Saccharomyces cerevisiae S288C: one gene and its partners. The gene in region 1 interacts genetically with each later gene. Each region holds a gene or a part of one and is shown in the gene's direction. Other genes may lie near its edges.

Region 1 (5,360 bases):
GACCGAAACTACCTCTTATTTCGAAGCAAAAAAAAAAAAAATCAACAAAAATTCCAACTTTTCAATGATGAATGAAGACATATCCATCATTGATGGCCATAATAGTTTTTTAACGGAAAAAAGCACCGTGCTATTAACCCAAGCCAAGAGAACACTAGAAGACGAAAAGGAAATGATTACTCCCCCGAGCTCAACTGTGAGAAAAACAATGAAGGAAGTAAATAAGAGGCCGTCGCATCCCCTCTCACCGGATCACTCGTCCCCAATTGCTCCATCTAAGGCCAAGCGCCAAAGATCGGACACATGCGCTCGGTCCAATGGTAACCTAACCTTGGAAGAAATTCTTCAATCTTTGGAAAGAAGAAGAATAAATGGTGAACTCGCCAAGAAACCTCCATATTCGTATGCAACTTTGATTTGCTTGGCCATTTTGCAATCTCAGGAGGGAAAGCTAACGCTATCCCAGATATATCATTGGATCCACGTTCACTTCCCTTATTACAAGCAGAAAGATGCTAGTTGGCAAAATTCAATAAGACATAACTTGTCTTTAAATGATGCGTTCATCAAGACTGAAAAGTCCTGCGATGGTAAGGGTCATTTCTGGGAGGTCAGACCGGGTGCCGAAACAAAATTTTTCAAAGGTGAAAATCGTGGTTATGAATTTGTAAAGGACTCCTTACAAGACATTGGGAAGTATTTTGAAATAGATTCTACACTTGATGAATTAGAACAAGTTGAGAGTGGAGAAGGCAATGATGATCTTCCTGACGAGGAAGAAAGAGAGGAAGCAGGGAAATTCCCTTCCATTGAAATTCAATTGAACTCCTCCCCTATACTGAGAGTTTCCCAGTTACATCACATACCGCAATTGAAAACAGACAACAGTGTACTGAACCCTCACGAAAACCTAGAATCGATGCGGAACATGATAGAAAACGATGTCAACAATATAGATTCCTTGGAACCTCCTTATGTCATGAAGAAATATCATACTTCTTTAGGCTTACCGTCGCTGGTGAATGCCAAAGATCATTTCCAGGCGGGTGTGAAAAACAATAATATCACCCAGGCAAATAGATTTAATACACTCCCTATAACTAGCGCAAAGTCTCCTCAGAATTTCAGAAAATATTTCACCTCATTCAATTCAAATTTTGAAGATTTATCTCCACTTCGAAGTAATGTAGGGGCTGGTTCTCTACTCGACCCACTTCCGTATTCCCCATTGAAGCTGTACGATCAGAAAAATCTTGCGCTCATGTCGAAACCACAATCTCAGCAATCATATTCCAATTCTCAACTTCCACCTCCACCTTCCTCTCATGGTTCGGACTTACTTAAAACACCCAAGATGAGGCATTCCGATGGCTTAGAGAAAACCCCATCGCGGTTGATAAGCACACCTAAGGACGGTAACTCGATTTTGAGGAAATGGCAGACTCCTTCACACCTTTTTGAAGATTTGTACTGTTCTCCGCTATTTAGAGCTATAGAGACTCCAATCAGGTATATCACGACGCCGGGGGGCACTTTGGAAACCCAAATTTCACCAAGAAAGTCCTCTGCACCCGATGTCCTCACAAGCGCAACGAATTCCAAATTTGCTTCAAGCGGGCTGTTTGGCGTGGATGTTTATTCTGTTTGGAAGCGCGCAACTGAAAAGATTTCTGATGGTAACAATACTACGGATAGCAATCAAAAACATCATCCTTATCATAATCACCCTTCCAACGATAGCGGTAATGAAAAGAATTGACTTTTTTTTTTTTTTTTTTTCATTTTCTTTTCCTCACCGAAAACTAATTATTCTTAATCTGATGGATTCATCGCAAACGGTTGGATGAGTCCTAAACTGGGCTGGAGTTATCATATCACATAGCATTTTCTTTTTAATCTTATTGTATTGTCGGGTCAACTAACTTCTTTTCCCGCTCTTCTATGGTATAATCAATTGCAGAAGAGGCAGGAAAAAATTGTAATCATAACAAAAATGATACAAATTTTTTTTCTAAGTTTTATATTTTACATATCTTTATTTTTGATCCTTACGGATTTTTAATACAGTATTTAGCTGAAGTTTCCATTCACTTCACTTACCTTTTTGATCTCTTTTATTTTTACTTGCCCCGTTGCCTTGCATTTTTCAATAGAAAGTGAAAAACTAAGTACCACTTGAGCAATGCCACATTAGAAGAAAAACCATCCGCAAGTGAGCATCACAGCTACTAAGAAAAGGCCATTTTTACTACTCATGGACCACCAAATAACCACTGCAAGCGACTTCACGACTACTTCAATACCGAGCCTGTACCAATTGGATACACTTTTGAGATGTCACATTTGTAAAGATTTTCTAAAAGTCCCCGTCTTAACACCTTGTGGCCATACATTTTGTTCCCTTTGTATTAGAACACATTTGAATAACCAACCAAATTGTCCTCTCTGCCTTTTCGAGTTCAGAGAGTCCTTGCTGAGAAGTGAGTTCCTGGTCAGTGAAATAATTCAAAGTTATACATCCCTACGATCTTCCTTACTAGATGCACTAAGGATACCGAAGCCTACCCCTGTCCCTGAGAATGAGGAAGTACCAGGTCCTGAAAATTCTTCATGGATAGAACTCATATCAGAGTCTGAAAGTGACAGTGTAAATGCCGCTGATGATGACTTGCAAATTGTTGCAACAAGTGAAAGAAAACTTGCCAAAAGATCCATGACTGATATATTACCACTGAGTTCCAAACCATCCAAAAGGAATTTTGCAATGTTCAGAAGTGAACGTATCAAGAAAAAATCAAAGCCAAATGAACAAATGGCCCAGTGCCCCATATGTCAACAATTTTATCCTCTTAAAGCCCTTGAAAAAACACATTTGGATGAATGCCTAACTTTACAATCACTAGGCAAAAAACCAAAAATTTCTACCACTTTCCCTACAGAGTCAAATCCACATAACAAAAGTTCATCCAGATTCAAGGTACGAACTCCAGAAGTCGACAAAAGCTCATGTGGTGAGACCTCACATGTGGATAAGTATTTAAACTCAATGATGAGTGCAGAACACCAAAGATTGCCGAAGATCAATTTTACGTCTATGACTCAATCCCAAATAAAACAAAAACTGTCATCGTTGGGACTGTCAACTAATGGTACTAGGCAAAACATGATTAAAAGATACAATCACTACGAAATGCTTTGGAATTCTAATTTTTGTGATTCTCTAGAACCTGTTGATGAAGCTGAACTAAAAAGACAGTTGTTAAGCTGGGATGTTTCACACAATAAAACCCCCCAAAATAGTAGCAACAAGGGTGGAATTTCTAAATTAATGATAATGAAGAGTAATGGGAAATCTTCTTCATATAGGAAATTACTTGAAAATTTCAAAAACGATAAATTTAATAGGAAAGGATGGATGGTTATGTTTCGGAAGGATTTTGCTAGGCTTATCAGGGAAGCAAAAATGAAAATAAAAACAGGTTCATCGGACAGTTCAGGTTCAGTGGGACATTCTAATGATGGAGATGGTGTTGAAAAAGTTCAAAGTGACCAGGGAACCGAGGATCAGCAAATGGAGAAGGATCAGGACACTGTTATCAACGAAGATAGAGTTGCTGGTGAAAGAAATTTGCCTAACGAAGATTCAACTGATGCTGACTTATCAAGAGAATTAATGGACTTGAATGAATATAGTAAAGACCCACCCGGTAACAATTAAGGTGTGTATATGTAATCAGGCCTGTTTGTTAGCTTGTGCACATTTGTTAATTAATAATTTATTTAAAAATGGGCAAAATATAAATGCATAAAAGATGACATAGAGATATGTGCACAAAGCTATGTAATCATATTTAACATTAATATATATTATTTCGTTATTCACAATTCGTCATGAAGGCCAGCGTAGTTTACGGTTCCTGCTACTGCATTATCATCGTTGACAATGTTTGTATTCGAATTATTATTCAAAGGTGCTGCAATTGTTTGCGGAGGGGCCACTGGATTAGGCAAAGAAGTGATCTCCACGTTAAGTGCTGAAATAACTTCACTAGATAGAGAGACGTCTTCGGTAACATCTACCGTACCAGATGCCTGCATTTCCGTCGTAAGCATTCGGGAAACAGGAGTATTTACATTTTCGCTGATTTTGTGGCGTACCCCAAACGCTTCAGATGAATCTTTTGATGACTGTACTTCTATCATTATTTCTTTCTGTACAAATCCTGATGCATCAATTGAACTAGCAGATATTTTGTGAGGGCTACTTACAAAAGATGGTGCTGTTGTGGTTACACCTGGCATCGGCTGAGCTACTGTGCTTGACGCGCTCTCCACGGATAAAGTTCCCTTGCCTATATCAGACAGAGCGCCAATTGAAGCACCACTACTACTAAAGATCATAGATGCCATAGAAGTCCCTTCAATATTTGTGGATTCTGATAGGGAAGATTGACCAACACTCGTCTTAGGTGATTGTACAGCATCAGTGAAAACACTAGTGGGTTCCGAACTGTCAGCCAAAACACTAGTGGGTTCCGAATTGTCAGCCAAAACACTAGTGGGTTCCAAATTGTCAGCCAACACACTGGTGTATTCCGAATTATCAATCAAGGCACTGGAGCGTTCTGAATCCTCGGTAGAGAAAGCAATTACTCTCGAAGTCTTCGTTTCTGTTTTTGAGAATGAGCTAGTTGCCGTCTCCACAATAGCTGATGAAACAGGTTCAGAGATGGAATGAAATTTAGAAAAAGTGGAATCTGAGATTGAAGGGATTGATTCAGAAGCAAGAACAGAAGAAGTTACAGTCGATACTTCTATTGACTGGAAGCCAGAGGTTATAGATGAATCAGAAAATGTACTCGGATGCGAGGAAATAGAGTCCTGGGATGCTGATGTTGACAAAATTTCTTCATTTGGGATCAAATTAGACGCAACTGAGTCAAATTCGGATGCTATAGAAATAGAATGCGTAGGTGTTTCAACCATACGCTCTAATTCTGATGCTATGGGATCAATTTCGGAGACGGGCGAAGAAACCATAGTGTCTGTGGGCGTCAACAACATTGAAGAAGATGTTGTAACATACTGCTCGGCTTCTGCATTGGAATCTGATGCAGGTATATTCCTATACTCAATTTTTGTAATGACTTCAGTGATTATTTTTGTCTTATAAATCTCTCTCGTGGATGCCGGTTTTGAGTTGTCTAGAAAAGATGTGTTGGCTGCATCATTGGTGGGGTTTGTTTGTGTGGTGGTAACCGCAGTCGCGGTACTTGTGGATAATGCTGTAGTAGGGCTAGTTGTTAACGATGAGGAAAGAGATAATGAAGATGAAGATGAAGACGGCATGTGTGATAGCG
Region 2 (5,875 bases), on another chromosome or scaffold:
TTGAAAACGTCTTTTGTTAAATTTATTGGGGCGACGATGTCAATAAAATAATCACATCTAGTGATCGGCCACTCTTTACCGGTATCATATATATTCTTGTTATTCATTCCCTTAGGTAAAGTTCTAATCTTTTTGAAAATAGAACCACTCTCTGGAAAATCACCTGGAAGAAGACCATCAAATCCAGATTTAACAAATTTTAGCCTATGATTATCTGGCAGCAGGAAAGAACTTGGGAAGTGATACCATTCACGTCCCGTACATACATTCACTACCGGTGCCTTCACACCACCTTGATTTAGTGAAGAAAATTGCTCGTAGACGGCTATAGGAGCTGTGTAATTGTTCACCAAAGCCACTATCCGTGACATTGCCTGGCCTGCAACAATTAATAAAACTGACAACTTTATACCTTTTTTAAGAATCGGCTTTCTATTGAATAGATTCAACACTTTGTAAAAGGCGATACTTGCACTCAAAGTTATTAACCCGTAAATTGGATAGAGAAATCTTTCCTCTTTGTGAGGTTGTTGAGTGAAAACGGCAATCCATGTGAATAATGATGCCCATAATGGCCATAATCTCAAATGGAAAATTCCCAAAATAGCTAAAACTAGCACAGGCAGTGGGAAATTCAGTAACAAATTTAGTGGATAGTAGTACCATGGCTCAACCCCGAAAATATTTGGGCCAGATTCCTCACTTGCATTAATGACATTGTAAAATAAGATGTTCCATGATACAGGAGCAAGCTTCCCGTAAAATATACTGTCAGTGACAATCACAGCAAATGCAGTCAATGAAAATATCAAACAGCAGTCGAATGCGGTTCTGATGGTAGAAATAATTCTATGGTTGAAAAGGTAATGTAAACATAATGGCAAGCTTAAAATTAAAACAAATGGCCAGCCTAGTATACTAGCCAGGAAATTGTACGCTAAACTTTTCGTAAAGTTAGAAGTAGACCCAGTGGACAGATAGCGTAGAGAGTGTCTGGTGGCACCTACATACAACAACATGGCAACGGCAGAAGGCAATAATTCCACAGATGCATGGAACCAGCCCGGATTAAACAATTGGAAAATAATCCAAATATTTGCGATTTGCAATGCCAAGCTGCCTGCAATTTCACGATGTAGTTTAAATTCCATGATAAAACTAAAAAAGCCTAAGCATGCTCTTGTGATGAAAAAGTTCCAATGACTTTCTAGGTCAGTAAATTTGTTTACTGGATAAAGAATACAGTAAAAAGGTAATAAGAAAGCCCATGATCTAATAGAATACTCGGGTGAATATTCCCAGGTTTGTTTACCAAATCCACGTACCAATAAATTTAATGGTTCCCAATAATTAAAAGTTTCATCGCAATCTGAAATTAACGAGAATGTCGGCTGAATATATACTCTTGTTAAAAATAACAACAGTAATAAACTAATGGTTACCGCCTTGCAATTCATCGTTCCCTTATAATTGTGCTTCAGGGTGAAAAAAGAGCCAATTCGATACAGCTAAAGTTTTGAAATCTCGTTGAGTAGCCGTAATGGTACAATAAAAACGAAAAAGTATTCTCTATTGTGTCAAAAACACCCCTGTATATCCAGTTGTCCCTTTTTCAAGCTTGTATTGACAGTTCTGAATATCGCAGAACGGTTCTCATCAAAATTCAATATTGCGTAACGGACTTATTGTTGCATTTTCAAGTAAATAAGCCGGGTCAGGATGCCCGCCGTAGATAGTAAAAAGTAGGTATAACATGCGCAAGAGCAAAACGGATTTGACAACATATCCAAGTGATAAGTGGTCGTTTAGATACATCATATACTATAACGGTTTGATATTGAGAGCCCAGTTAAAATTAACATCTGTTTTTTGTTTTTTAATTGACATTCAATCATCGGTTGCTTTCCTTGTGAAACTGTACGCGTTGTCTTAAACGAAACGTGTTTTAAGGTAGGTCATCGACAGGTAAAAAATAGCTTATTAGCAGAAGAACGCTAGCGGTAAGATCTGAAACAGGATCGCACAGTCTCAATGAGTAACAAGAGGACATCTGTAGAACAGCTCATATCATGCCCAATTTGCTCTAGAAAAGTCTTTTTTTCCTTAATCAACTCTCATCTTGACATATGTGGCAAGGAAAAGTCAAAGCCTTCGAGTAGGCCACAAACGGTGTCAAGTCTTTTGGCAGGCCCAAAAAAGAGGAAACAAGCTAACTCAGAGAAATTCATTGATCTTGAAAATAAGGACCATGAAATTAAGCCAGGTCTTAAGAGCGAGAGTGATGATATTGAGATTGTTGAAAATGAAAGCAAAAGATTTAAGGCAGCACCATCCACGGATTTTGCGAAATCAATAGTGGAGCCTGCTTCGAGCAGAGATCAACTTCACAACGATTACGAAAGCAGATGGTTGCAGAAAATAAGCCATTTGCCACTTAGTGAAAAATTGAGGCCAAAAGAATTAAGAGATTATGTAGGTCAGCAGCACATTCTCTCTCAAGATAATGGTACATTGTTCAAATACATAAAACAAGGGACTATACCATCTATGATACTCTGGGGCCCTCCAGGTGTAGGAAAGACTTCACTAGCTAGACTATTAACGAAAACTGCGACAACCAGTAGTAATGAATCAAATGTTGGTTCCAGGTACTTCATGATCGAAACAAGTGCGACAAAGGCAAATACGCAAGAATTGAGAGGTATATTTGAAAAATCAAAAAAGGAATATCAATTGACCAAAAGAAGAACTGTACTTTTTATTGATGAAATTCACAGATTCAATAAAGTTCAACAGGATTTGTTATTGCCACACGTAGAAAACGGTGACATTATTTTGATTGGTGCAACGACAGAAAATCCAAGTTTTCAGCTGAACAATGCTCTCATTAGCAGATGTCTGATTTTTGTCCTAGAAAAGCTGAATGTCAACGAACTGTGTATTGTTTTATCAAGAGGAATTGCATTATTGAATAAATGCAGGAAACAAGTATGGAATATTGAAAATCCTTTGAAATTGTCTAGAAGCATACTGGAGTACGTGGTAGATCTGTCGGTGGGTGATACAAGGAGGGCGTTAAATATGTTGGAAATGATCGAAGTTTCAACAAGAGAGCGCAAGGCCGACGAGGAAGAATTATCTATCGATGATGTACGAGACATAATTAAGAACAACAGCAGCAACGGGTTGAATACATACTATGACCCAAAGGGAGATAACCATTATGATACAATCTCTGCGTTTCATAAATCCATTAGAGGTGGGGACGAAAACGCCTCACTGTACTATTTAGCAAGAATGTTGCAGGGAGGAGAGGACCCATTGTATGTTGCCCGAAGAATGATTCGAATAGCTTCTGAAGATATCGGATTACGGGATAGTTCATTATTGCCCTTGGCTGTCGCGGCACATGACGCAGTAATGAAAGTTGGTTTGCCAGAGGCAGACCTTGCACTGGCGCAATGTTGTGTTGCTTTGGCTAGGGCACCAAAGTCAGTAGAACTATATAGAGCTTGGAAGAAATTAAGGGCAATGATGAGCGAGAACATGTACAGTTTAGCAAGCAGTGAGATACCGATGCATATCAGAAATGCGCCAACCAAATTGATGGAGGAGCTGGGTTATCATAAAGGCTACAAGTACAATCCCGATTATATTGAAGGAAAAGTCCAACAAGACTACTTTCCCAAAGAAGTGCTCGAGAAATGTCCAAATAAAACTGACTTAAAGTTCCTGGACGGCAAACATTTAGGAGACAAAGAAGATCCTGACTTGAGACAGTCATATCAGGGTTAGTCAAGGGTCTTCCATACTTCTCTCAATGCCGCGTCTACAATTCATATTTTTTTCTCTGTTGGCCAATGCCGCTTGTTTTTTTACGCTTGAGGCGCATTGCATTGCTGGCACGTTTTTGTGCAGCATGAACGATATAAACTATAATTTTAGATAATCAAGGATCCACCTTTTTTTTTCATGCTAGAAAAGTCTCGCGGGCCCATCTGAGATATATTAGAACATATACGCATCCTATAAGAAGAGCACATTATTCTTGAATTAGTTCTTCCTTTTCCTCGACCTTCCAGCTTGTAAAATGAGCCAGGCTTGAGGAGCATAGATACGCAAAAATGGAAGATAAGCGGAAAAGACGAGCCGCTACACTTAGTACAGCATTGATATTATTTGTGGCATGCTGCGTTTATACACTATATATATTCAAGTTTGATAACCCTCGGTTGTCTCCACCAGTTTCCTTATTGCCTACAATTAGCACCTTGAAGAAAATTGAGCATGTAACAGATTTAAATAAGGAGTACGTTTTTGTTGGTGACGTTCATGGTAACTATGATGAGTTCATAGAACTCATTGATGACAAGATTGGAGGACTAGGAGAAAATATAACAATGATATTGCTGGGTGACTTTATTCACAAGGGCCCGGACTCAGACAAGGTCGTGTCGTATATTCTAAATCACAAGGATCAAGTCAAGTGCGTTTTGGGCAATCATGAAATATTGGTCATGATGGCCTATTTAAACCCAGACTTCTCGAAATGGGTAAGACGCCCCAAATTAATGACACCTTTAACTTTCAGTACGGAGACTAATTTCATACCACAAGACATCTCTAAAATCAGCAACGCACATGGACGGTTAGCTCGCGAACTTGGGTTTTCCAAATTAAGTCAGCTAGCGGAACATTGTTCTATGGCCATAGAACTAGATCTGGATATTACCGGTGATATACTCTTTGGTGCACATGCAGGGATGGTTCCGGGAGACTTCATGAAGCCCAACCAAATTCCGGGCGTGAGCTCTCTGTCAAACATGAAGTACGTTGATAAGAAGAACTGGTCAAAAACATCACGTGAAAAGGAAAACAAGAATTATGTGAGATGGTACACACTGTGGGACAAATACGGAGACCACTTTAGTAACGCCAAAGTATTTTACGGGCACGATGCATCCATGGGACTAAACCTACGGAGACAGACCAAAGGTTTGGACACAGCATGTATAAAGAACAATCTGCTTTCATCTATGAAAGTGAAGTACGATATTAAGAAGGGGCAATATGACTATGAATTAATTCAAGTACAATGCTCTTAAAACAAAAAGTACTACTTAAAAGCGCAACAGATTTTATATAATGTACTATATGAAAAAGATATGAATATTATTATGTAACTCATAATACTGAATCTTAAATTTCAATGAAACTTTCGCTGGAGCTACAAGTATTCTTGCCCAATGGCCGCTACCCGCCTCTTCTTCGTTGTTGAAGTTTTAAAATTTAGCGAGAAAAGAAAACAAAACCGAAAACAGACAACCGCAATCATTTCTTCAACACCCAACATCCAGCACCTAAACACCATCAATACACGTTTTAAACAAAACAAACCCATAGCCCAAAAGGTAGTAAACACAAACCGTTGTATACGCAACCGCCCTACATAAGACACTATTTGCGTACAGATTATCTCAATATGTCTAGTCCAGATGATTTTGAAACTGCACCAGCAGAATATGTTGATGCATTGGATCCGAGTATGGTCGTTGTTGACAGTGGTTCTGCTGCAGTCACAGCGCCATCGGATTCAGCCGCTGAGGTAAAAGCTAATCAAAACGAAGAAAACACTGGTGCTACTGCTGCTGAAACTAGTGAGAAAGTGGATCAGACGGAGGTCGAAAAGAAAGATGATGATGATACCACTGAAGTCGGTGTAACAACTACCACGCCTTCCATTGCTGATACTGCTGCTACCGCTAACATTGCTTCGACATCAGGTGCATCTGTTACTGAACCTACTACTGATGACACCGCTGCTGATGAGAAAAAGGAACAAGTAAGTGGTCCTCCTCTGTCAAATATGAAATTC
Region 3 (8,341 bases), on another chromosome or scaffold:
GTACCTGGTTCTTTCCATATTCACCACGTTTGTCGTAACTCTTGTTTTTCCTGTATTTGCGTCTGCCACCTACGTGACAGGGCTTCCTTTAAGCAACGCACAGTACATACCTCTCATATTCACGCTGTGGAACCTAGGCGACCTTTACGGAAGAGTCATTGCCGACTGGCCCATGTTCCGTGACCAGAAATTTACGCCACGCAAAACCTTCATCTACTCATTGTTGCGGGTGGCCGCAATACCACTGTTCTTGATGTTCACAGCCATCACCTCCTCTTCAAGCGGCGATGAAGAGCACAATGGCTCCGTAATCGTTGACTTGTGTTACATGCTACTGCAGTTCCTTTTCGGCGTAACCAACGGGCACGTCATCTCTATGAGTTTCATGAAGGTGCCAGAGCAACTGGACAACGACGACGAGAAGGAAGCGGCCGGTGGATTCACTAATATTTTCGTTTCTACAGGACTAGCTCTGGGCAGCATCATAAGCTACGTATTCGTCTTCATAATTGACTTTATTATCAGGTAGATAGATACTGTACATACCGAAACGCCATCATTTACAGTCGTGATACGATTTACTGTCACTTAGCAATAATATCTCGTACATAGCGACAAACATACATATTATTGGACACGTCGCCCTGAAAAAAAAAAACATAAGAAAAGAATACGAAAAAAAAGAACGAAAGAACTTACGGAAAGATCCGTTTCGTGTACTGTTTATTAATAGTGTTGCATTCTTTTTGAGGGTAAAAAAAAGGTCATTTCTCGAGACTAACAACATTACCAAGGAGAACCGGCTTAGTCCACATCGCTACTGTCATTCTGTTTCGAACCGTGGTCCAGCAATCATGTCCTCGTCTTCGTCTACCGGGTACAGCAAAAACAATGCCGCCCACATTAAGCAAGAGAATACACTGAGACAAAGAGAATCGTCTTCCATCAGCGTCAGTGAGGAACTTTCGAGCGCTGATGAGAGAGACGCGGAAGATTTCTCGAAGGAAAAGCCCGCTGCACAAAGCTCACTGTTACGCCTGGAATCCGTTGTAATGCCGGTGATCTTTACTGCATTGGCGTTGTTTACCAGGATGTACAAAATCGGCATCAACAACCATGTTGTTTGGGATGAGGCGCACTTTGGTAAATTTGGTTCTTATTACTTGAGACACGAATTTTACCACGATGTCCATCCTCCCCTAGGAAAAATGCTGGTCGGGTTGTCTGGTTATTTGGCAGGCTACAACGGTTCTTGGGACTTCCCTTCTGGGGAAATTTACCCAGACTATTTGGATTATGTTAAAATGAGACTGTTCAACGCGTCATTTTCCGCGCTCTGTGTGCCATTGGCCTACTTCACTGCCAAAGCTATTGGATTTTCTTTACCAACAGTTTGGCTGATGACCGTGTTGGTTTTGTTTGAAAACTCGTATAGTACTTTGGGCAGGTTCATTCTTTTGGACTCCATGCTACTTTTCTTCACTGTCGCATCGTTCTTTAGTTTTGTTATGTTCCACAACCAGAGGTCCAAGCCGTTCTCTAGAAAGTGGTGGAAATGGCTGTTGATCACTGGTATTTCTTTGGGTTGCACTATTTCCGTCAAAATGGTGGGTCTATTTATCATCACTATGGTCGGTATCTATACTGTGATTGACTTATGGACCTTTTTGGCAGATAAATCCATGTCATGGAAAACCTATATTAACCACTGGTTGGCAAGAATATTTGGTCTTATTATCGTCCCCTTCTGCATTTTCCTATTGTGCTTCAAAATACATTTTGACCTATTATCGCATTCTGGTACAGGTGATGCTAACATGCCATCTCTTTTCCAAGCAAGATTAGTGGGTTCTGACGTCGGACAAGGCCCCCGTGACATTGCTCTAGGTTCCTCCGTTGTTTCCATCAAAAACCAAGCTCTTGGAGGATCTCTATTGCACTCACATATACAAACTTATCCAGATGGGTCCAACCAACAACAAGTAACCTGTTATGGTTACAAAGATGCTAACAACGAATGGTTTTTCAACAGAGAAAGAGGCTTACCATCATGGTCAGAAAACGAAACTGACATCGAGTATTTGAAGCCAGGTACCTCCTATAGATTGGTACACAAAAGCACGGGCAGAAACTTGCACACCCACCCAGTTGCTGCACCAGTGTCAAAGACACAATGGGAGGTTTCTGGTTACGGTGACAATGTTGTTGGTGACAACAAAGACAATTGGGTTATTGAGATCATGGACCAAAGAGGAGATGAAGACCCTGAGAAGTTGCACACATTGACCACCTCTTTCCGTATCAAGAACTTGGAGATGGGCTGTTACTTGGCTCAAACCGGTAACAGTTTGCCCGAATGGGGTTTCAGACAACAAGAGGTTGTCTGCATGAAAAACCCATTCAAGAGGGACAAGAGGACCTGGTGGAACATCGAGACCCACGAAAATGAAAGGTTGCCACCAAGACCCGAAGATTTTCAATACCCAAAGACCAACTTCTTAAAAGACTTCATTCATTTAAATCTAGCCATGATGGCCACTAATAACGCTTTGGTGCCAGATCCAGACAAATTTGATTACTTAGCTTCCTCAGCATGGCAATGGCCAACTTTGAATGTGGGTTTGAGACTATGTGGCTGGGGTGATGATAATCCAAAATACTTCCTATTGGGTACCCCAGCTTCCACGTGGGCTTCTAGTGTTGCCGTCCTCGCATTCATGGCCACGGTCGTTATCTTACTGATCAGATGGCAAAGACAATATGTGGACCTAAGAAATCCATCTAACTGGAACGTTTTCTTAATGGGCGGGTTCTACCCACTACTAGCTTGGGGCCTACACTACATGCCATTCGTTATCATGTCTAGAGTCACCTACGTTCATCATTACTTGCCTGCCTTGTATTTTGCACTGATCATTTTGGCGTACTGTTTCGACGCCGGTTTGCAAAAATGGTCCAGATCTAAGTGCGGCCGTATCATGCGGTTCGTCCTATACGCCGGATTCATGGCACTTGTAATTGGTTGCTTCTGGTACTTCTCCCCAATATCATTTGGTATGGAGGGACCAAGTAGTAACTTCCGCTACTTAAACTGGTTTTCCACTTGGGACATTGCCGACAAGCAAGAAGCATGAATTAAGATCATCGTAGTAAGTACATAAGTAAAAAACAAGAATTAAATAAAATTTCTATATCAACCAGCAGAAGAAGTGGTCTATATAAACCACTATATAATGAATTTCGATAAACACTCTTTAATTGTTAACCAGGCTGTTCTCCTTACTCATCTTTGCGATCCGATGCTGTTTTATTACCCTTCTATTTTTTCCTTTCTGCATTTTGATTTTCGCGAATAATGAAATTCTTGATCTTTTTATCAACAATGAAAAAAAAACTGTAAACAGAAACTGATAATTTCTTGAACCCTTTAGCCCACCCCAACCGTACTCGTGTTATTCGCTCGTTGATTTACGCGAACCTTTTTGTTTGCTTTACATAGCCTCTAGCCATTCAAAGATTCGCTACCCTGAACCATGGAAATATTTAGCCAGAAAGATTACTACCCGACTCCATCCTCAAATGTTATTAGCTATGAAAGCGATTGTGTATCCAAACCAGTGAATAGTGCAGACCTGCCCGCGTTAATTGTACACCTTTCTTCCCCTTTGGAAGGTGTAGACTACAACGCATCTGCAGATTTTTTCCTTATTTATAGGAATTTTATAACGCCTCAAGACTTACACGACTTACTCATCTATAGATTTCGATGGTGTATTAGGGAGATCACAACAAATGCTGCAAAAGCTAAGAGAAGGCGAATTGGTGAAGTTGCCCTCGTGAGGACGTTTGTGTTGTTGAGGCATTCCATACTGAATTATTTTGTGCAAGATTTTTTACCGAACATAACATTAAGACTTCGGTTGATCGAGTTTCTAAACGACAAACACATTGAACAGTACCCAAAAATAATTTCCAGCTGTATAATCAATCTGAAAAAAAACTGGGTGCATTGTTCTAAGTTGGTTTGGGAGAATATTGAACTAAATGAACCTGATAAATTAGACTTTGATGCATGGCTGCATTATTCGTTAAAGGATTTCACGCAACTAGAAAGCCTACACAAAAGAGGAAGCCGACTGAGCATTTACGCCAGGCAAAGTTTTGCCAGTCCTGATTTTCGTAACCAAAGCGTTTTATCATTATATAAAACTTCTGATGTATTTAGACTGCCGGAGAAGCTACAGTCTTCAAATTCTTCCAAAAACCAGAGAAGCCCTTCTATGCTTTTATTTCCCGATAATACATCAAATGTTTACTCGAAGCACCGAATAGCGAAAGAACCTTCAGTTGATAATGAAAGCGAGGACATGTCAGATAGTAAACAAAAGATCAGCCACTTGTCAAAAGTCACTCTAGTATCCACACTAATGAAAGGCGTAGACTACCCGTCATCATATGCAGTCGATAAAATAATGCCTCCAACACCGGCTAAAAAAGTTGAATTTATTCTGAATTCCTTATATATTCCTGAAGATTTAAATGAACAAAGCGGAACGCTTCAAGGTACATCGACGACATCATCTCTAGATAACAATAGCAACAGTAATAGTAGATCTAATACATCTTCAATGTCTGTGTTACATCGCAGCGCTATTGGTCTTTTAGCTAAGTGGATGAAAAACCATAATCGCCATGATAGCAGTAATGATAAAAAATTTATGAGTGCTATTAAACCAGCAAACCAGAAACCTGAAATGGATGCGTTTGTCAAATACGTTGTATCAATATCATCTCTCAATAGAAAATCTTCCAAGGAAGAAGAGGAAGAGTTTCTTAACTCTGATTCTTCTAAATTTGACATCCTAAGTGCAAGAACCATAGATGAAGTGGAGTCCCTACTGCATTTACAAAACCAGCTGATAGAAAAAGTTCAAACACATTCGAATAACAACCGAGGTCCTACAGTTAATGTTGATTGTGAACGTCGGGAACACATACATGATATAAAGATTTTACAACAAAATAGCTTTAAACCGAGTAATGATAATTTTAGCGCTATGGACAATTTGGATCTGTATCAAACCGTAAGTTCAATTGCTCAGTCAGTCATCTCTTTAACTAATACTTTAAACAAGCAACTGCAGAACAATGAATCGAATATGCAGCCATCACCCTCGTATGATGCACTGCAACGAAGGAAAGTAAAAAGTCTCACGACAGCATATTACAATAAAATGCACGGTAGCTACTCAGCAGAAAGTATGAGGCTCTTTGATAAAGATAATAGTTCTTCACGTACAGACGAGAATGGACCTCAAAGATTGTTATTCCATGAAACTGATAAAACCAACTCAGAAGCGATTACAAATATGACACCAAGGAGGAAAAATCATTCCCAATCCCAAAAAAGCATGACTTCTTCGCCTCTGAAAAATGTTCTACCTGATCTTAAAGAATCGTCTCCCTTAAACGATAGTAGGGAAGACACAGAATCAATAACATACTCATACGATTCCGAGTTGTCATCCAGCTCTCCACCCAGAGATACTGTAACGAAAAAGTCAAGAAAAGTCAGAAACATCGTGAATAATACAGATAGTCCAACTCTAAAAACAAAAACTGGATTTTTAAATCTAAGAGAGTTTACATTTGAAGATACCAAGTCTTTAGATGAGAAAAAGAGTACTATAGATGGCCTTGAAAAGAATTATGATAACAAAGAAAATCAGGAATCAGAATATGAGAGCACAAAAAAGCTGGACAACTCACTCGATGCATCATCAGAAGCCAATAATTATGATATAACTACAAGAAAAAAACATTCATCTTGCAATCACAAGATCAAACAAGCAGTTGTAAGACCGGCTAGTGGAAGGATCAGCATTTCAAGAGTTCAAAGCATTGCCATAACACCAACCAAAGAGTTATCCATAGTAGATCCTGAGCAAAACAAGTCAAACTCAGTTATAGAGGAAATAAGTGAAATAGAACCTCTCAACCTGGAATATAATAAAAAAAGCGCGTTGTACTCTGATACATCGTCCACCGTTATCAGTATCTCAACGAGCAAGCTTTTTGAATCTGCTCAGAATAGTCCTCTAAAACAAACTCAAAATCCACAGAGAGAATTTCCCAACGGGACCAGCGTGAGTGAAACCAATAGAATCAGATTATCCATAGCACCCACAATAGAATCTGTTGTAAGTGATTTGAATTCGATTACCACTGGTAGCACAGTTGAAACTTTCGAAACGTCCAGAGATTTACCAGTGCCACACCAAAGGATAATAAATTTGAGAGAAGAATATCAAAGGGGTAATCAAGATATAATCTCAAATACTTCTTCATTGCATGAGTTAAAAACAATTGATTTAAGCGATTCCAATAATGACCTAGAAAGTCCAAGTACCCATGCGAAAAACAACAAGTATTTTTTTTCACCAGATGACGGTAGCATTGACGTTGCTTCTCCAATGAAAAACGTTGAAGAGCTGAAAAGTAAATTTCTGAAGAACGAGAGTGAAACTAATAGTAACATATCAGGAAGTGTATTGACAATGGACGATATCGACATTAATGACACATCTAGTGCCCGGAACACACGGAGAGCAAACTCTGAGTCGGCTTTTACAGGCTCCTTGAATAAGAAAAATTTAAATGAAATTGCTAATATGCTCGATGATTCAATTAATGACGATCCAATAACCGTGGCATTAATGAAACTGGAAGGTACATACGAGAAAATTCCCGAAAAACCAGAGAACACCAAGAGTAGTGACGCTATTGGAATTAAAACGAGCAAGTTAGCAGATGAAGTGGAAATGCTAAACCTTAACAACTTGCCGTCATTCCAAAATAGCCCCGCAGAAAAAAGAAAATCGTTATTAATAGAAAGAAGGAGACAAACTATAATGAATATCCCCTTTACTCCAGATCAATCCGAGAAGGAAGGCTTTACTTCCTCCTCTCCTGAAAAAATAGACGTGTCAGCTAATGTTGATGTTGCTGTGCAAGCGGCGCAAATCCAGGAATTAATCGGTCAATACAGGATTCACGATTCGAGATTAATGATTTCTAATAATGAAAGTCACGTTCCATTTATACTAATGTACGATTCCCTGTCTGTAGCGCAACAAATGACCTTGATAGAGAAGGAAATTTTAGGAGAAATAGACTGGAAAGATTTATTAGATTTAAAGATGAAGCATGAAGGCCCACAAGTTATAAGTTGGTTGCAACTACTAGTAAGGAACGAGACCTTATCTGGCATTGATTTAGCTATATCCAGATTTAACTTAACTGTGGATTGGATTATATCAGAAATACTTCTTACCAAGAGCAGCAAAATGAAAAGAAATGTCATTCAAAGGTTTATACACGTTGCAGACCACTGCAGGACATTTCAGAACTTTAACACATTGATGGAAATCATTCTAGCCTTAAGTTCTTCAGTTGTTCAAAAATTCACTGATGCATGGCGTCTGATTGAACCAGGCGACTTACTGACTTGGGAAGAGCTAAAGAAGATTCCCTCGCTAGACAGGAATTATTCTACAATAAGAAATCTACTTAACTCTGTGAATCCACTGGTGGGTTGCGTCCCTTTCATCGTCGTATATCTTTCGGACCTATCAGCAAACGCAGAGAAGAAAGACTGGATCTTAGAAGATAAAGTAGTGAATTACAATAAATTCGATACGAACGTTCAAATAGTCAAGAATTTCATTCAAAGGGTTCAATGGTCCAAGTTTTACACTTTCAAAGTTAACCACGAATTGCTGAGTAAGTGTGTTTATATTAGCACATTAACACAAGAAGAGATTAATGAACTATCCACATGAGGTATTGTGCCACTTTCCTCCAGTTCCCAAATTCCTCTTGTAAAAAACTTTGCATATAAAATATACAGATGGAGCATATATAGATGGAGCATACATACATGTTTTTTTTTTTTTAAAAACATGGACTCGAACAGAATAAAAGAATTTATAATGATAGATAATGCATACTTCAATAAGAGAGAATACTTGTTTTTAAATGAGAATTGCTTTCATTAGCTCATTATGTTCAGATTATCAAAATGCAGTAGGGTAATAAACCTTTTTTTTTTTTTTTTTTTTTTTTGAAAAATTTTCCGATGAGCTTTTGAAAAAAAATGAAAAAGTGATTGGTATAGAGGCAGATATTGCATTGCTTAGTTCTTTCTTTTGACAGTGTTCTCTTCAGTACATAACTACAACGGTTAGAATACAACGAGGATATGTCCGACGAAATTGTTTGGCAAGTGATTAATCAAAGTTTCTGCTCTCATAGAATTAAGGCACCTAATGGTCAAAATTTT
Region 4 (4,555 bases), on another chromosome or scaffold:
GAATCTGGAAATGACATCGTGCCCACAGATGAGCTTTATAGGAAATGCATTATCAACGGGGATGAAGTAGTATTCATTCCTGTTAGCGAACTAAATCCACAATCGAGCTATTTGTCCGTGATCAAAGGCGATTACGGTGAAATTAAAATCCCCATATCTAGTAATGACTACAGAATTAATGGCGATAATATTTTGCTATCACCATCTGCGATAGAGCAGTTAGAATCTGCTTTGAACTTCAAAATCGAGAGACCACGGGATTCGACACTCTTGCATCCGTCTGGTGAGCATGTTCGAGCTGCAGATAATACCTCTTCGGCAAATGATAATAATACAGTTGAGAATGACGAGTCAGCGTGGAATAGAAGGGTAGTGCGTCCCTTGAGAAACAGCTTCCCGCTGCTATTGGTATTGATAAGAACATTTTACTTAATTGGCTATAATTCATTGGTTCCCTTTTTTATTATTTTGGAGTTTGGAAGCTTCCTTCCCTGGAAATATATCATTTTACTAAGCTTGCTTTTCATTTTTAGGACTGTTTGGAATACCCAAGAGGTGTGGAATTTATGGCGAGACTATCTCCACTTGAATGAAATTGACGAAGTCAAGTTTAGCCAGATCAAGGAGTTCATCAATTCCAATTCATTGACCTTAAATTTCTACAAGAAATGTAAGGACACTCAATCCGCTATTGATTTACTGATGATACCTAATCTACATGAGCAAAGGCTATCGGTCTATTCTAAGTATGATATTGAGTACGACACCAACACCCCTGACGTTGGACAATTGAATTTGCTATTTATCAAGGTGCTATCGGGTGAGATTCCTAAGGACGCGCTAGATGAGTTGTTCAAAGAGTTTTTCGAATTGTATGAAACGACAAGAAACATGAACACACTATATCCTCAAGACTCTTTGAACGAATTGCTGCTGATGATTTGGAAGGAGTCCCAAAAGAAAGACATCAATACGCTACCCAAGTACAGAAGATGGTTCCAAACCTTGTGCTCGCAAATAGCGGAGCATAACGTCCTTGATGTCGTACTCAGATACATAATTCCAGACCCGGTAAACGATAGGGTGATAACCGCTGTGATAAAGAACTTCGTGCTCTTTTGGGTTACACTACTCCCCTATGTGAAGGAGAAGCTGGATGATATTGTTGCACAGAGAGCAAGGGACCGTGAGCAACCGGCTCCATCTGCCCAACAGCAGGAAAACGAAGATGAGGCCCTCATAATCCCTGACGAGGAAGAACCCACCGCCACAGGTGCGCAACCTCATCTCTACATTCCTGATGAAGACTAATTGCAATGCGATGTGGCCACGTTATATAATGCGTTTAAGGTGTACGAAAACCCATGCTGTTCTGGCCCGTCGGGTTTTCTGACAAATTGTCCTTTAGGGATTTTTCGGTTTGGCTCGGGTTGGCAAAGTCGGCTGGCAACAAACCAGGACATATATAAAGGGAGGTAATTCGTCAGATCAATGCCGAACCGTTCTCAACGGGCCTTCCCCTCGTTCAATTGCTCACAACCAACCACAACTACATACACATACATACACAATGGTCGCTCAAGTTCAAAAGCAAGCTCCAACTTTTAAGAAAACTGCCGTCGTCGACGGTGTCTTTGACGAAGTCTCCTTGGACAAATACAAGGGTAAGTACGTTGTCCTAGCCTTTATTCCATTGGCCTTCACTTTCGTCTGTCCAACCGAAATCATTGCTTTCTCAGAAGCTGCTAAGAAATTCGAAGAACAAGGCGCTCAAGTTCTTTTCGCCTCCACTGACTCCGAATACTCCCTTTTGGCATGGACCAATATCCCAAGAAAGGAAGGTGGTTTGGGCCCAATCAACATTCCATTGTTGGCTGACACCAACCACTCTTTGTCCAGAGACTATGGTGTCTTGATCGAAGAAGAAGGTGTCGCCTTGAGAGGTTTGTTCATCATCGACCCAAAGGGTGTCATTAGACACATCACCATTAACGATTTGCCAGTCGGTAGAAACGTTGACGAAGCCTTGAGATTGGTTGAAGCCTTCCAATGGACCGACAAGAACGGTACTGTCTTGCCATGTAACTGGACTCCAGGTGCTGCTACCATCAAGCCAACCGTTGAAGACTCCAAGGAATACTTCGAAGCTGCCAACAAATAAGACGCTTGCAGAGTTGTCTAAATGACTACTTATTTAAAATTCACTCTTTACGTTTATACCTATCTATCTATATATAAAACCCATAAACTTAATGCTATTCACTGACAAAACGATACACTACCGTCTAAGAAGCTATTCACACTAGCTCAGTTCTAATAACAATCATCGTCTGGCTCTAAAACGCGTAAACCATTCACTGCCACACTCACTTTAGCTCTGTTGCTGCCCTTCATACGCTGAGACGCGACGCTTCTTTTCTTTCATATGATTTCCCTTCTAGGCGACACGCCATGCCCCAAACGGGGAACACCGCGAATTCCTTCTGGTGCCCGGTTTCCTCTTTGGGAAGGGCGTCAAAATGGTACAGCTCGCTATAGTCGCCAATTACTGCAGATGCTTAAAGGCTTCTGCAACTGTATGTCCAACCTAGTACGTGGAAACTTCAAACGCGAACAATCTGTATGCTGTTTCGGGCTACTTATTGCTCTATACGGTTTTTAGTGGACACGAACTCTTGTAATTATTATATATATATATGCCTTGGCATTTTAACAAGACTCTATGTTGTGATTTCAGTATGATTTGGGTGAAAACACAGTGGTGACCACAGAACAACGAGGTAACAGTTCCAGACCACTACCTTTCCCCTTCAATCTTTGTGATTTGATCAATTCTTGATGTCACAAGAAACAAAAATGCTACCTTCTCTATCTAGTCTTCTATCGGGAACCGAAATCTCGTCCAGCCCCGTATCACCAAGCTTCACTAATCCAAGAACGAGTTTTCACCTCGATGATCGCGGAACCATAAAATTACCACCGCTAAACACCAGTATCAATCGTCCAAGATCTGTGGAAAGCGCCTTGAGACACACTGTTACATCCTTGCATGAAAATAGCAGCGCTTATGGTGATGACATGCTCAAGCACACGCAATCAGACTCAGCCCTCTCATCTCAGTTGAATAGTTCTCAAGAAACAGTTGATGAATCACACGAAAACCTTCTACTGACTCCCCTAAATAGCAAAAAGAGAGATTATTCGGTTTCTTCAAAGAAAAACGACATATTAACACCACTCTCTGCAGCGAAGTCGATTATTATCCCCTCTGCCTCTAAGGAAAAAAGACGTGCATTTGCTTTCATCACACACTCGCAGGAGACCTTCCCTAAGAAGGAGCCTAAGATCGACAACGCTCCACTAGCACGCCGAAAGAGAAGAAGAACCTCGTCCCAGGAACTATCTATTCTTCAGGCTGAATTTGAAAAATGTCCTGCTCCATCGAAGGAGAAACGAATTGAGTTAGCTGAATCTTGCCATATGACTGAAAAAGCCGTTCAAATATGGTTCCAGAATAAAAGACAAGCGGTTAAAAGGCAGAGAATCGCCACTTCGAAGTCAACCACTATAATACAAACGGTATCTCCACCATCTCCGCCTCTGGACGTTCATGCTACGCCACTAGCATCCAGAGTCAAGGCGGACATACTTCGTGATGGAAGCTCATGTTCTCGTTCTTCCTCTTCTTCACCGCTGGAAAATACGCCGCCAAGGCCTCATCATTCCCTAAATAGGCGCTCATCCACACCAAGCATAAAGAGAAGCCAGGCTTTAACATTCCATCTAAACCCACAAAAGAAGACGTTGACTCCCGTGAAAACGTCTCCCAACAGCAGAGTAAATAAATTGATCAATAGCATAGATCATTCTCCATCCAAAGCCAAGCGTCCGGTAAGCAATCCCTCCGGCTCCCCTAAAAGGAAGAGAAAATTCGGATTCAAGATCGTCGATCAACAACCGTTGAAGGATCTTGATCCGAACGCTTTCCGTGGTTGATCTAATCTCTAGTCATTATTTATTCGCAAATTCATTTCCCTATACGGCATTCATACATATCATTGTTCACTTCAGTCCTAGCATATATCATAAAATATACAATTGTTTTCTAATTACCTTACGTTTTTTAAAAGACTTCTATAACACCTCTTTTAACTTTACATGTAGTCAAAATAAAGTGCAGTTCCATCGATGGTACTTTCTCACCCCGGTTGAGTGATGTTAACGATGTTTACCGTATAAAACTTAATTATATTATATCTTTTTTTGCTTATATGTTATACATAGAATAAAAAGTTGATTAAACACACATTGGTCTGAAAACACGTGTAGTACTTTCTCCTTTGAAGAATAAAAAAAGAAAATAAAGATAATAAAAACGAAAATAGCGTACAATTATTACTGATAATTTCCTTAATTGATTTAAGCTCTTCTTCTACCAGTGGTCTTGGTGTGTTGACCTCTAACACGTAAACCCCAGAAGTGTCTAATACCACGGTGGGCTCTGATCTTCTTTAATCTTTCCAAGTCATCTCTCAACTTGGATTCGACGTTGTTA

Evidence for each region.
Region 2: mutations in RAD18 (region 1) and MGS1 are lethal when combined (synthetic lethality), as found in Saccharomyces cerevisiae (5 studies listed by BioGRID, with this or other methods).
Region 3: mutations in RAD18 (region 1) and LTE1 impair growth when combined (synthetic growth defect), as found in Saccharomyces cerevisiae (4 studies listed by BioGRID, with this or other methods).
Region 4: mutations in RAD18 (region 1) and TSA1 together harm fitness more than expected from each alone (negative genetic interaction), as found in Saccharomyces cerevisiae (5 studies listed by BioGRID, with this or other methods).

The regions. Positions count from the first base shown.
Region 1 is NC_001135.5:229,246-234,605, forward strand, and holds RAD18 (E3 ubiquitin-protein ligase RAD18), read left to right. Parts: upstream 1-2,254; coding exon 2,255-3,718; downstream 3,719-5,360. Other genes in the region: HCM1 (Hcm1p), read left to right, coding at 65-1,759; GTPase-activating protein SED4, read right to left, coding at 3,880-5,360. UniProt on the Saccharomyces cerevisiae protein: E3 RING-finger protein, member of the UBC2/RAD6 epistasis group. Associates to the E2 ubiquitin conjugating enzyme UBC2/RAD6 to form the UBC2-RAD18 ubiquitin ligase complex involved in postreplicative repair (PRR) of damaged DNA.
Region 2 is NC_001146.8:236,207-242,081, forward strand, and holds MGS1 (ssDNA-dependent ATPase MGS1), read left to right. Parts: upstream 1-2,031; coding exon 2,032-3,795; downstream 3,796-5,875. Other genes in the region: ALG9 (dolichyl-P-Man:Man(6)GlcNAc(2)-PP-dolichol alpha-1,2-mannosyltransferase), read right to left, coding at 1-1,457; PPN2 (putative serine/threonine-protein phosphatase), read left to right, coding at 4,125-5,105; DNA-binding transcription factor RAP1, read left to right, coding at 5,483-5,875. UniProt on the Saccharomyces cerevisiae protein: Involved in the maintenance of proper DNA topology and chromosome integrity via annealing of single-stranded DNA breaks. Modulates DNA polymerase delta during replication or replication-associated repair.
Region 3 is NC_001133.9:101,065-109,405, reverse strand, and holds LTE1 (mitotic regulator LTE1), read left to right. Parts: upstream 1-3,533; coding exon 3,534-7,841; downstream 7,842-8,341. Other genes in the region: nucleoside transmembrane transporter FUN26, read left to right, coding at 1-529; dolichyl-phosphate-mannose-protein mannosyltransferase PMT2, read left to right, coding at 855-3,134; ribosome biosynthesis protein MAK16, read left to right, coding at 8,261-8,341. UniProt on the Saccharomyces cerevisiae protein: GDP-GTP exchange factor for TEM1, a Ras-like protein, component of the mitotic exit network (MEN).
Region 4 is NC_001145.3:218,568-223,122, forward strand, and holds TSA1 (thioredoxin peroxidase TSA1), read left to right. Parts: upstream 1-1,570; coding exon 1,571-2,161; downstream 2,162-4,555. Other genes in the region: USA1 (Usa1p), read left to right, coding at 1-1,311; YOX1 (Yox1p), read left to right, coding at 2,839-3,996; 40S ribosomal protein uS13 RPS18B, read right to left, coding at 4,420-4,555. UniProt on the Saccharomyces cerevisiae protein: Thiol-specific peroxidase that catalyzes the reduction of hydrogen peroxide and organic hydroperoxides to water and alcohols, respectively.